4 linked regions of the Oryctolagus cuniculus genome follow. The protein of the gene in region 4 purifies or fractionates together with the protein of the main gene of each other region. This does not show direct contact. Links are inferred from orthologs where the notes say so. Each region holds a gene or a part of one and is shown on either strand. Other genes may lie near its edges.

The links. Proteins that work in one complex are often made in the same cells at the same time.
Region 1: the proteins of protein tyrosine phosphatase type IVA 1 (region 4) and CNNM3 purify together in Homo sapiens (affinity purification with mass spectrometry; 6 studies listed by BioGRID and IntAct, with this or other methods). This does not show direct contact. The link is inferred for Oryctolagus cuniculus from reciprocal best matches to the Homo sapiens genes PTP4A1 and CNNM3.
Region 2: the proteins of protein tyrosine phosphatase type IVA 1 (region 4) and CNNM4 purify together in Homo sapiens (affinity purification with mass spectrometry; 6 studies listed by BioGRID and IntAct, with this or other methods). This does not show direct contact. The link is inferred for Oryctolagus cuniculus from reciprocal best matches to the Homo sapiens genes PTP4A1 and CNNM4.
Region 3: the proteins of protein tyrosine phosphatase type IVA 1 (region 4) and CNNM1 purify together in Homo sapiens (affinity purification with mass spectrometry; 4 studies listed by BioGRID and IntAct, with this or other methods). This does not show direct contact. The link is inferred for Oryctolagus cuniculus from reciprocal best matches to the Homo sapiens genes PTP4A1 and CNNM1.

Annotation. Positions count from the first base shown.
Region 1 is NC_091433.1:110,896,345-110,899,111, reverse strand, and holds part of CNNM3 (metal transporter CNNM3), read left to right. Parts: coding exon 1-25; intron 26-632; coding exon 633-768; intron 769-904; coding exon of another isoform or gene 905-939; exon of another isoform or gene 940-1,071; intron 1,072-2,574; exon of another isoform or gene 2,575-2,675; intron 2,676-2,767. UniProt on the Homo sapiens protein: Probable metal transporter.
Region 2 is NC_091433.1:110,921,697-110,925,196, reverse strand, and holds part of CNNM4 (metal transporter CNNM4), read left to right. Parts: intron 1-2,409; coding exon 2,410-2,579; intron 2,580-2,824; coding exon 2,825-2,921; intron 2,922-3,500. UniProt on the Homo sapiens protein: Probable metal transporter. The interaction with the metal ion chaperone COX11 suggests that it may play a role in sensory neuron functions. May play a role in biomineralization and retinal function.
Region 3 is NC_091446.1:30,666,973-30,670,437, reverse strand, and holds part of CNNM1 (metal transporter CNNM1), read left to right. Parts: intron 1-676; coding exon 677-863; intron 864-966; coding exon 967-1,182; intron 1,183-2,916; coding exon 2,917-3,018; intron 3,019-3,465. UniProt on the Homo sapiens protein: Probable metal transporter.
Region 4 is NC_091432.1:77,597,695-77,600,191, forward strand, and holds protein tyrosine phosphatase type IVA 1, read left to right. Parts: upstream 1-1,194; 5' UTR 1,195-1,338; coding exon 1,339-1,860; 3' UTR 1,861-1,997; downstream 1,998-2,497. UniProt on the Homo sapiens protein: Protein tyrosine phosphatase which stimulates progression from G1 into S phase during mitosis. May play a role in the development and maintenance of differentiating epithelial tissues.

The DNA.
Region 1 (2,767 bases), on a different chromosome or scaffold from region 4:
CCTGTCTGACCTGCAGCTCATTAAGGTGACCGCCCGGGCTGCTCGTTGGTGCTGGTTTTATTTCTTTACTTGAGAGACACAGAGTTCTCAGTCCACTGGTTTGCTCCCCAAATGCCTGCAGCAGCCAGGTGGAAGCCAAGAGCTGGGAACTCAGTCCTGGTCTCTGGTATGACGGGCAGGGACTCAGTTACTTGAGCCGTGTCCTGTTGCCTCCCAAGGTGCACATTCGTAGGAAGTGGGAATTGGGAGCGAAGTTAGAATTTGAATCCAGGCAGTCTCAGTAACCACTAGGCCAAATGCCCACCCCAGCTCTGTTGTCTCTGTGAGGCTAGACCGACTGGTGACAAGTTTGTATGGGTTGAAAGCAAACCGATTCTGTCCCAGACTGCCCAAGGCCCTGTGCTCGGCCTGCAGGAGACCCCTAGACTGCTGTGGTCCAGGCCTCGGCCCCTGCCTCCCTCTGAGGCCTGACACGTTCTGCCTGACCGCCCTTCTCTGCTGTTCTCAGCTCGTATCCTTTCCCTCCCGGTGTGATTCTCCCCTCTAGGTCAGGTGCTTTGTGTGCGACCCCTTGTACCTCCTCATCTTGATTTACAAATTGCATCAGCTGGGTGATGTGTTCTGTGCTCCAGGTTACACGGCTACAGTACCTCAATGCACTCCTGGCTACCCGAGCCCAGAGCCTGCCACCGTCCCCTGAGAGTGCCAACCTCCAGGTCGTGCCAGGCAGCCAGACCAGGCTCCTCGTTGAGAAGACTGCTGCAGCCGGTAAGCCTCGGGGGCACGTCCTGTGGTCTGAGTACCCAGGGGGCTGTGCGCCGGCAGTCCTGGCAGCTGACACACACACACACACACACACACACGTGCGCGCTCTCTGCCCTGCTTTTTCTGTTTTTCTCCCCAGCCCTGTCCCTTGTGTTGGACGACACTGAGCAGTAGACCAGTTGGCATTTGAAGTAAAACATGAAGTCCCCGTGTTCCCTTGAAGGCCTTTCAGGATGGGTTCTCCTAACTGGGGAACAGTTGGTGAATGGGAATAAGATCACATGCAGGCTGTTCTGGCCGTTCAGGGTTAGGGTTAGGTCACTTGGGCGAGGAGAATCTGGTCACCAAGGGCCCGGCTCAAAGGTGGAGGGCTGCGGGCACATCAGAAACGAGAAGGGCCCCTGCTGAGGAGGGGGCAGGACAGGCGCTGTCCTGCCGGGGGCTCCGTGGTGGGCAGGAAGACCCGGCCCACACTGTGAGAGGGCATGGGATAGCCAGCCCCACAGTGGAAGGAGGGCTCTGTCATGTGGGCTGTGGGTTGGAGGAGTAAAAGGGGAGCCTTCCGGTTCTTATCCTGTAAGACAGTTGTGTCAGGATGCGCCGGGCCGGGTACCCTACTTCCTCCCCCGACCCCGCAGCCAGTGAGGAAGACGAGCCCTGTGGGGTGCGTGCCTCGCTGGTCTTACGTCCCCGGTCTCAGGTGGTGGTGGGCACGTCCATTCTACAGGTGAGGAGCACGAGTCAGGGTGCAGGTGCCTGGAGAGCCCCTCAGAGAGCAGACCTGCTCACCTGGGCCTGCGCCTGAGAATCCGACCACACGCTTCTACCAGAAGGGTCCTTTCTGAGTTGGGAGGTGGCGTGCAGGAGTGATGGGCAGGAGGCCTTCCCCGTGCCGGGGTGATGGCTCAGCCCCGGGGCTGCAGCTCTGACTGCACGTGAGGCCTTGTTCCTCAGGGCCTCTGGAGGAAGGCAGCCTTTCTGGGGCGCTGCGCCTTCCCGGGCTGACGGGGTCCTGCCTTTACTCCCTGTGATGGGGTGTCCCCCGTGTGGAAGCTCACGCCGTCGTGTTAGCCTTAGATCCCAAAAGCCGAGAGGTTTTGCCTTGCTAAATGTGAGCCTTTGGTTCTGGTTTTCCCCACGCTGAGTCCCTCTGCCCAAGGTGCACACCTGGTCCAGGAGTGGCCGCGCGCCCTCTCTGCCTCCTTGATCAAACATCTCAGAACCTCCAAACCCTCTGTGCCCCAGCTGCTCGTCGGGCAGTCCTGTGAGTCACTTAGAGCAGCTCTGTGGGGCGTCTGCTCTCTAACAGATCCTCCGCTGTTTTGTAGACTTTATGTTGGTGACTGTCACCTACGTGCAGTCTGACATTTGCCCCCAGTGAGGCCTGCCTGTCTTTCTGCTCTCTTCTTCCTGGGGTTGTCCCTGAGCACTGGGCACCTCCCTCCCCAGAAGAGCCTAGTGTCGCTGCGCAGGTGGCGACTTCCCTGGGGCCCCACTCAGGGCAGGTGAGAACCAGTCTTTGGAGACTTGGGCTCTCGAACTTTAAATTGTCTGCAGCAGGGGCGGCAGACTGGTGCGGAGTTGTAACAGACCTGCAGCATCTAGAAATGCAGTGCTTTACCGAAGACGTTTCCTGGGCCCCCCATTTCAGGTTCTGAGTAAATCCTCCCTGTCAGCCACCTCAGGCACCTGGCTTCCCTGCGGTCCTGCACGCCAGCACCTGGCGGCCCGTGGCGCTGCCCTGGGCGAGAGGCTTCACTGTTGGGGCTCAACTGCTGTCTCCTCTTTCTTCCCCTCTGCTCTCTTCAGCCTTCCCAGTAGACATTTCCCTCTTTGGCACATTTGGAAACTGCAGTTGATAAATGACTGTGGACTAGTGAGCATTTTTTTGTTTTAAGAAAACACCCAAGGTAAATATCTTTTCTTTCCTTTTTCCTTTTGCTTTCCTTTCCCGGCCTGTTAGCTGCCGGCGGGGTCCCCAGGCAGCTCTGTGCAGACTAGG
Region 2 (3,500 bases), on a different chromosome or scaffold from region 4:
TGTCAAAAAAAAAAAAAAAAAAAAAAAAAAAAAAAAAAAAAAAGAGAGAGAGGGGCTGGTGTTGTGATGCAGTGTGTTAAGTTCCTGCCTGCAATACTGGCATCCCATGTGAGTGTCAGAGTCCCGGCTGCTTCACTTCCCATCCAGCTCCCTGCTGATGCACCTGGGAAAGCAATGGAGGATGGCCCAAGTGCTTGGCCCCCTGCCAGCCATGTGGGAGACCTGGGTGGAGTTCCCAGCCCTGGCCATGGTAGCAATTTGGGGAGTGAACCCGAAGATGGAAGACTTCTTTCTCTTTGTAACTGCTTTTCAAGTAAATAAATAAATCTTAAAATTAAAAAAACGAAACTAAAAAAAGCAAAGAGAGACAGCGGCAAAGAGAGAGACAGAGACCTTCCAACCACTGGTTCTTTAACTGCAAGGGCTGGACCAGGCTGAAGTGAGGAGCCCAGAACTCCATCTGGGTATCTGACACGGATGGTAGGCACCCAGGTACTTGCAGGGTGTGTATTAGGAGGAGGCTGGACTCGAACCAGGCACTCCAGTATGGGATGTGGGTGTCCCAAGCTGGGACTTAACTGCTGTGCCAAACGCCTACCCCCAGAGTTACTTTTTCTTTTTTTTTAAAGATTTATTTTTCTTATTTGAAAGTCAGAGTTACACAGAGAAAGAGAGAGAGAGAGAGAGAGAGAGAGTGAGGTCTTCCATCCGCTGGTTCACTCCCCGATTGGCTGCAACGGCCAGAGCTGTGCCGATCCGAAGCCAGGAGCCAGGAGCTTCCTCCAGGTCTCCCATGTGGGTGCAGGGGCCAAGCACTTGGGCTATATTGTACTGCTTTCCCAGGCCATAGCAGAGAGCTGGATCAGAAGAGGAGCAGCCGGGACTCAAACCAGCGCCCATATGGGATGCCGACACTTCAGGCCAGGGCATTAACGCACTGCACCACAGTGCGCGCATCCCCCCCCACCCCCCCCACCCCCCACCCCAGAGTTACTTTTGCAATAAGCCTGAAGTCCTTGAGAGGGCACCTCGGAGATCAGTAAGGAGAAGGGGGCCCTCCACTTGCTGGAACTCGCCCCTTGCCTGCCCATGCGCCCGAAGAGCCTGTGCTCCACCCTGGTCTCAGTCTCCTGCCTGCCCCCTGCCTGTGTGTGCTGGGCCCTGCAGGAACTGACCTCGAGACCAGTGACATTTCTGTTTTCTCACCCCTGGTTCAGTCGCCAGGACCTAGGTGACAGATTGGAGAAATACCAGCCTCCTCCATCCCTTCTGCACAACCCACCCTCCTTCCCAGCCCTCAGTTGGTAGCAGTGTGATCATTCTTTTTCCTTTATGTTTGCTACTACAATATTAATGTTGATAACAATAGTAAATTTTTTTAAATATTACTGTTTTTCCTTTTTAATTTATTTATTTGAGAGGCAGAGTTACAGAGAGAGAGGCAGAGACAGAGACAGAGAGAAAGGTCTTCTATCTGCTGGTTCACTCCCCAAAATGGCTGCAATGGCTGGAACTTGGCCAATCTGAAGCCAGGAGCCAGGAGCTTCTTACAGGTCTCCCACTTGGGTGCAGGGGCCTAAGCATTTGGGCCGTCTTCCTCTGCTTTCCCAGGCCATAGCAGAGAGCTGCATCGGAAGAGGAGCAGCCAAGACAGGGGCCAGTGCCCATATGGGATGCCGGCACTGCAGGCAGAGGCTTAGCCTACTATGCCACAGTGCCACTCTACCCACCTCCCACCCCCCCCTTTTTTTTTTTTACTCAAAACGCAGAGTGACAGAGAAAGATCTTTCATCTGCTGGTTCACTTCCCAGATGGCTTCAATGGCTAGGGCTGGTCCAAGCTGAAACCAGGAGCCTGAAACTCCATCTGAGTCTCCCACATGAGTGGTAGGGACCAAGCACTTGGGCCGTTTATTAAGCAAGGAGCTGGATCAGAAACGGAGCAGCCAGCACTCTAAACCTGCACTCTGATATGGGATGCCAGCATTCCCGGCAGCTTCTTAGCCCTCTGTACCGAGTGCCTGTCCCCATAGTGATGATCCTGGTAATTCTAGGGACACTGATTAAGCACTTCCCACGTGCCAGGAGTGTGTCTAAGTGCTTTATTTGTGTTATCCCATTTGACCTCGCAAACCACCCAATGAGGTTTTATCCCCAGTTGATGTATGTGGAAACTGAGGCACAGGTTAGATAGTTAGCCCAAGGTCATGTGCTGTTGGGACCAGGGCCACCATCCCGGCCAGCGCCGGCAGACGGAAGACTTGGGTCTAAGCAGTCAGCAGCCAGGAGCAGAAGTGAGGGAGTGCCTGAGCCAGTGGGCACCAGCTCAGCTCAGGGCTGCCGCTGCAGTGACCGAGCCCCCGGGCTGCTGGCCTGGCCCCGCGTGAATCCCCCCTCTCTCCTCCTCCAGAGGTCCCCCAGTTCAGCCCCTCTCTCATATCGGAGAAGATCCTGCTGCGGCTGCTCAAGTACCCAGACGTCATACAGGAGCTCAAGTTCGATGAGCACAACAAGTACTACGTCCGCCACTACCTGTACACCCGAAATAAGCCCGCCGACTACTTCATCCTCATCCTGCAGGTGCGCGCCTCCTCCTCGGGCCACTCCCCACCCCAGCTTCTGCTGCCCCGCAGCCTCTGCTCGCCCCACAGTGCTCGTCCTCTCCCCCGGGGCCGCCTTGCACCTGCAGGGCAGAGCCCTGAGCACGCCAGGACTCTGGGCCACCCCTGCCTCCTGCGGCTGGCTGCGCCACTCCCGCGCCTCACTGCCACACCTGTCTCCGCCTTGTTTTTCTTCCCTGTAACCCTGACCTTGTGTTCTTCCAGGGGAAGGTGGAGGTGGAGGCAGGGAAGGAGAACATGAAGTTTGAGACGGGTGCCTTCTCCTACTATGGGACCATGGCCTTGACCTCGGTCCCCCCTGGTGAGTTATAGGGCTGGGCCTGCACCTTTCTCCTGCATCCCAGAACTGAGGTGGTTTAAGGTGTGGGAGTGAGGGTGGAGAGGCGGTGGTGTGTGTATTGGTGAGGGCCAGGCTGCCAGGGCCTAGAGGAGGTGGCCTGGAAGAGCAGGGTGACTTGCCCCTTTCAACGGGGTCCAGAGGCCCAAGTCACAGAGACGAGAAGGGAATTCTTAGCGAAGGCCTGGGCAACCAAGGCGGGTATCCTGAGAGGGTGAGGAGACCCGCCGTGGAGGGCAGGGGGGTGGACTATGGGTAGGAAAGGACACATCAGGGAGCCTCAGAAAGTCACAGGCCTTTAGGTAGCTATTACATGAAGTCAGAAGCGCTCGTGGCCCGCTGTGAGAGAAGTGTAAGGAGACCAGGATGGACTGGCAGGGCCAGGCGGCCTCAGTGCCCCTGCTGCCCGTGACAGCAGGCGGAGGTGAGGACTGGGGCACCCAGAGCGCCCATAGTTGGGAGCCAGGCCAGGGCCTGTTTAGCAGGGTGGGTTACAGATGGTCTTAGCTTTTCCAGGGGCTTAGCCACTGCCTTTGGTTAAGG
Region 3 (3,465 bases), on a different chromosome or scaffold from region 4:
CTGCTAACGGAAGAGGCCCTCTAGCTTCTCCAGGGTTTCAAGGGAAGAAAGCTTGATTGCAGTGTGGTTGGGTTCGGGGGTAGGCTTTGGATGTGTTCCCTAAAGGTTCGTGTGGTGGAAGCCTGGTCCCCAGCGTAAGAGGTGGCAGATCTCTAAGATCTGGGGTGTCAGGGGAAGGTGGGTCAAGGGGCACCACCCTCAAAAGGGATCAATGTGGCTCTCACAGGGCTGGGCTCCTTCTCGTGAGAGCAGGTGGTAGTGAAGTGAGGTCACCCCACGTGCTTGGCCCCTCTGCACTTGGCCATTTCCATTCCCGCATCTCTGCCGTGTTGTGTCACAGCCAGTTGCCAGTGCCACACTGTTTGGACCCTCCAGCCAAATAAACCCCTGCTCTTTGTAGAGTACCCAGCCCCAGGTATTTTGTTGTAGCAACACAGAACAGACTAAGACAAGCTCCACTGAGTACACCCTAAGGGCCTGCAGCCAATAACAATGAGCCGTAGGAACCGGTGGCGGCCCCTCATCGTCCCTCATCTGCCGAGCTGGGTCTCAAGCCTCAAAGGTCAAGGGTTCCGAGGCACCTGAGCAGGGCTGCCTCTGAGCTGGGCTGCCTCTGAGCTGGGCGGTCCAGGGAGGGCCCTGCCCTGCTCCTGAGCTTCTGCCTGCTTCTCCCCAGATCACACGGCAGCAGTACCAGAATGCACTCACCGCCTGCCACCTGGACAGCTCACCCCAGTCCCCCGACATGGGCGCCTTCACTGACGGGGACTCCAGCAAGGCCCCCACGACCCGGGGCACGCCTCAGACCCCCAAGGATGACCCTGCTGCCGTCTCACTCCTCAACCACAGGAGCAGCCTCCCGTGTAAGTCAGTGGGCGGATGGCCGAGCCTCCTTCCCATCTCGTGCCTCACAGAGCCCCAGGCCCCCTTCCGAGCGGAGCCTGAGGCGTCCACTGTCCTCCACAGGCAGCCGCTCGGACGGGCTGAGAAGCCCCGGCGAGGTGGTGTACCTGAGGATGGAGGAGCTGGCTCTCACCCAGGAGGAGACAACCGACTTGGAGGAGCAGAGCACACAGCAGCTCTCGCTGTCTCCCGCAGCAGGTCCCACAGGAGCAGGTCAGGACGGAGTCTGGGCTCAGACGAGTATCATCTTGGGCAAGGAGATGGCACACGGCAAGCTGGGTGAGAGGAGCCCTGGGACCCCAGCCCTGGAGTACACCCTCCCACCTCCTTACATAGCCACGGGAGAGACACGCCCACCAAGCACCTGCTATGGATTGGGCCCTGTCTCGTTCATTCTCCCAGGACAGCTGTGGTAGGCAGTGTTAGGAGCTTGGACTCTGCCTGGATCCAGCCCCCAACTCCTTCATGTAGGAGCTGTGCGATTTTAGACAAGTTACTTAAGACAAGTTGCTTATCTTCATTGATGATCCTCCTACATGAATAGCTATAAATGATGGTAGCTCTCTTGGGAAGTGGTGTTGAGTATAAACGGGACAGTATACTTTAAGGGCACACATATCACCATGTGTGGAGCATCTACAGTAGGTAGTTATTATTCGACTCGCCTTACAGACTAGGAAACTGGAGTCAGCCATCACTCTTTTTTTTTTTTTCTTAGAAAAAGAGAGGCAGAAACAGAGATCTTCCATCTGCTGGTTTTCTCCCCAGATAGCCACAATGGCTGGAGTTGGTCGATCCAAAGCCAAGAGCTTCTTCTGGGTCTCCCATGTGGGTTCAGAGGCCCAAGCACTTGGCCATCTTCCACTGCTTTTCCAGGCACATTAGCAAGGAGCTGAATCAGATGTGGAGCAGCCGGGTCTCAAGCTGGTGCAGACGGTAGTTTAACCCCTTATGCCAGAGTGCCGGCTCAGTCATCACTCTAACCAGCAGCACCCCTTCCTTTGGGCCCAGAGACCCAAGGTTGTCTGGGAGTTTTTCCTGAGGTCCTAGATTGCATTGCCTCCGAGACATTGAACGCTTTTGCCCTGATGGTGCGGTTGCTCCAGCAATCCCGACATCTTTCTGTGCTCACTAAGTACACACCCCAAACTCTCAGGAGGCCCCTACACCCACCTTCAGGCCACCTGTTCCCCTACCGGACCTCTCAGACCTACCCTAATCCAGAGTGTAAGAGCCCTCAGACCCAGAGAAATGCCTTGAAGAGAACTTACGAGGCCAGCAGACGACACTCTTGGACTCCTGGCTAACCCAGAAAATCCTGGAGGGTCACCGTTCCAGGATACAAGTTTAAAACCAGTGACCCTTCTCTCCCACACACACCGAATCCATCGCCAAAGCACAAGGGAAGAAAATGTGGCAAAGGCGTCAGAATGGAGGCGTGGGGTGGGGTAGTCTTTGAAATCACCCAGTCCTCCCTCCGCATGGGACACCTGAGGACCCTGGAGGCCTAGACAAGGGAAACGTTTGCTCAAGTCCAAACCTGTGCTTGAAGCAGCCTCAGTCTCTGGGTTTCGGTGCAGTGCCGTCTCCGGCTCGTCACCTGCCTGCCTGGTTGGCCCTAAGCCATGACCTCCTCCTGGTTCTCTTGGAATCCCCTTCTGAGGGTGCTTGAAGGTTGTTGAGCCTACAGTTTGCCAGGGCTGTGTGAGCAGAGGAGGGAGACAGCCCTACCTTTCCCCAGATGCCCTTTGGGTGGAGAATATACCGTGCCCTTCCTCCTTTGCCAAATGGTGCTTGGGGGTGAGGGCATTATCCCTCCCTTTGCATGGACTTCTGCCTTCCCTTCCTTTTATGGCACCAAAATGCCTGTTGCCAGCACCCTCTGGGCCTTCCCTCCATTGCCACGCCACCCTGCGCAGGCTCCTGTACAGGATGTCACGCAGAATCACCTTGCCTTGATCCCTGGGCATGGAGGTCGAAAAAACTTGAGTTCTCTCTTCCTTCCTCTCTCAGCGTCAGACAATGAATGTTGTAACATCCACCTGGACACGGAGACCAGCCCTTGCAGTAGCGACTTCGAAGAAACCATGGGCAAGAAGCTGCTGCGAACCTTGAGTGAGTAACGCTTCCCCCAGCCTCGGGCCACCCCCAGCCCCACCCGCGCGTTAGCAAGAAAAGCACATTAGGCTCTTGCTCCTGGAGGAGGCAACTTTGGCTTCTTTTGGGAGCTTTGTTGAGGCACAGTGCGCCCGGGCTTGGGCTGAGACCGCACCCTTGATAGTGGATCTGCCATACCTGCTGTGGTCTCTGGGCTAGGAGCTCATGGCCTGTGCCTGTAGGTCAAACCCCAACATCTCTCCTCCACTTGTTTTCGCCAGTAAACACTCACTAGACCATAGAGACCAGTTTGTTTTCCGCAGCCACAATGGCAGAGTCGAGTACTTGTGAGACCGTTTGGCCCACAGAACCTGTAACATTTACTATCCAGTCCTTTAAAGAAGGGCTTTGTGGCCAGGAGACTCACCGCACAGGAAAGCAGTCCCCTCGGCAGGTGACGGCCAA
Region 4 (2,497 bases):
AGTTGTAAAATTTAAGTAAAGCTATTTAAATGTAGAACAGTGCCTCACCTAAAGTAAGTGCTAAAAAAAAAAGGTGTCAGTCACAATTACAACTTCCAAAACAGGAAGGGGAAAACATGAATATATGGGGGGTTGGGAACTTAACTCCAAAAGAAATGTAAAAAGATTCCTAAAGTATGGATATAGGAGTCAAATAGCACAAAATAAGGAAATATGAATCAAATAGCAAAAATAAGGGGCCAAAACATCATGCACGCAGTTTTAAAGTTAAAAGACAAAGGTTGTCAGGAAAAAAAAAAAGCTACTGTGCTGTTTATGAAACATGAAAGAGATGGGTAAAAGTGCAGGGTCAATAGGCTAGTCGGGGTCAATGCTTTGGAATCTTCTAGAACCTTCCTTCCCCTATGCTGGTCTCCGTCTACCCCCATGTTCCCTTCAGCCTCTTGGAGGCTTCCTCCTCCACCATCCCCATCCGCGTACCCCTCCTCAGCCGTCTCTGCTCCTCAGAGGCAGGCGGTGACTGAGGCTCCATGGCCTCTCCCTTTGGCCTTGAGTTCACACCAGCGGCACCCATGGCAACCATCGCCCCGGGGAGGGCCTCACGCCCGCGCTCATTGGCTCTCAGGCGGCCCTGCCGCTGCGGTTGGTGAGGGCGCAGTGCCTACGCCGCGCCGGCTATTAAAGGAGCGCTTGTGACGCAATGGCGCCTTGGCGCGCGTATTGGCTCCCGCCAGGCTGTGCCCGAGCTGCTTGGCCACGGTGGAGCCTCGTGTCTCGCCGCTGCCGCCGCCCTGTGACGGCCACTCCCGCTCCTGGACTTGCCGCTGCCGCCGCGTGTGTCGCCGCCACGGGCCTGGCTGTATGAGTAGGCCACAATCTTTCATGAGTAAACATATTCCTTTCTGTGGGGTTTTTGGTCACGCATTTATGGAGTTTCTGAAGGGCCCTGGAGATTACTGCCAGGCACAGCACGGCCTTTATGAGGACAAGTGAACTTGAGAAAGTCACTCTACTCCAGCAGGACGTCCCCATCAGAGAGAATAACCTGGACACAGACGTGTTGAATTGAAAGCATTGGAACATTTTACAAGAGTTCTGACCCGAATGGGGTAAACCTCTGTGCACTTGCTTTCCACCGACTCGGCATTATTAGTGAGTCGAAGAACAGCTGCTGCTTCTCAGGAAATTCATCTCATTTTCTGTCACCTGCCTATCTGAAGTGCTGAGAATTTCAAGTGGAGTGTATTGAGGTGGACTTCAGTTTCTTGACATCATTTCTGTATTCAAAAGCTTTTAATTTTTTCGTGACCGTATTGAGTGGTTTTAAACGAAATTAACATGGCTCCGATGAACCGCCCGGCTCCTGTGGAAGTCACATACAGGAACATGAGATTCCTTATTACACACAACCCAACCACTGCAACCTTAAACAGGTTTATAGAGGAACTTAAGAAATACGGAGTTACCACAATAGTGAGAGTGTGTGAAGCAACTTACGACACCGCCCTCATGGAGAAAGAAGGTATCCAGGTTCTGGATTGGCCTTTTGATGATGGATCATCTCCTTCCAATCAGATTGTTGATGACTGGTTAAGTCTTGTAAACATTAAATTCCGTGAAGAACCTGGTTGTTGTATTGCTGTCCACTGTGTTGCGGGTCTTGGGAGAACCCCAGTGCTTGTTGCCTTAGCGTTAATTGAAAGTGGAATGAAAAATGAAGATGCAGTGCAGTTTATTAGACAAAAGCGGCGTGGAGCTTTTAACAGCAAACAACTTTTGTATTTGGAGAAATACCGTTCTAAAATGCGGCTGCGCTTCAAAGACTCCAGTGGTCACAGAAACAACTGTTGCATTCAATAAAACTTAGCTGCCTGATGCTATTGCCTTGGAAGTGGAACTTGAGACTGGATCTAATTTTTCAGATCTATTAGCCAACATCTTAGTGAATAAGTCTAATGAAGCTCCCATAGGAATGTTGAAAAGCCACAAGCTTGACAGAATTGCCACTTCTGTTTTGCTTACTATTTATTATCCTATGCCAAAAAACAATATATAAAAAGTATAGTGAGATTAGATGCCAAGATACCCAGTACAATATGTGTTTATTTTTAGTATCATACAGAATTAAAATCCCAGGAACTTTGAACAGTACTCTAGACCTTACATCATTTATTCTTTAAGTCCTTTGAAACATTATAATAGGGCTTGTATGGTTATTTGTCTGTTCCTTTATGTTCACTACCCACAAGTGTACTGGTTTGTGCAACAAGTGATTTTGTTGGATTCTTATCAAGTCTTATGGTGATTATTTAGTCTTTCTATAAGTTCCTGTTAGGAAAAACTTTATTTTGAGAAATTAACCTCTGGTTTAAAGTTCATGCAAAATTCTCGTTGTGCAAGAAACACATGTGTTTAATGTCATCAGACAAAAAAGTCTTACCTTTGGGGTACAACTTAAGAGGGGAGGCAGAATGGGAGGAAGCTATGAAATATTTAG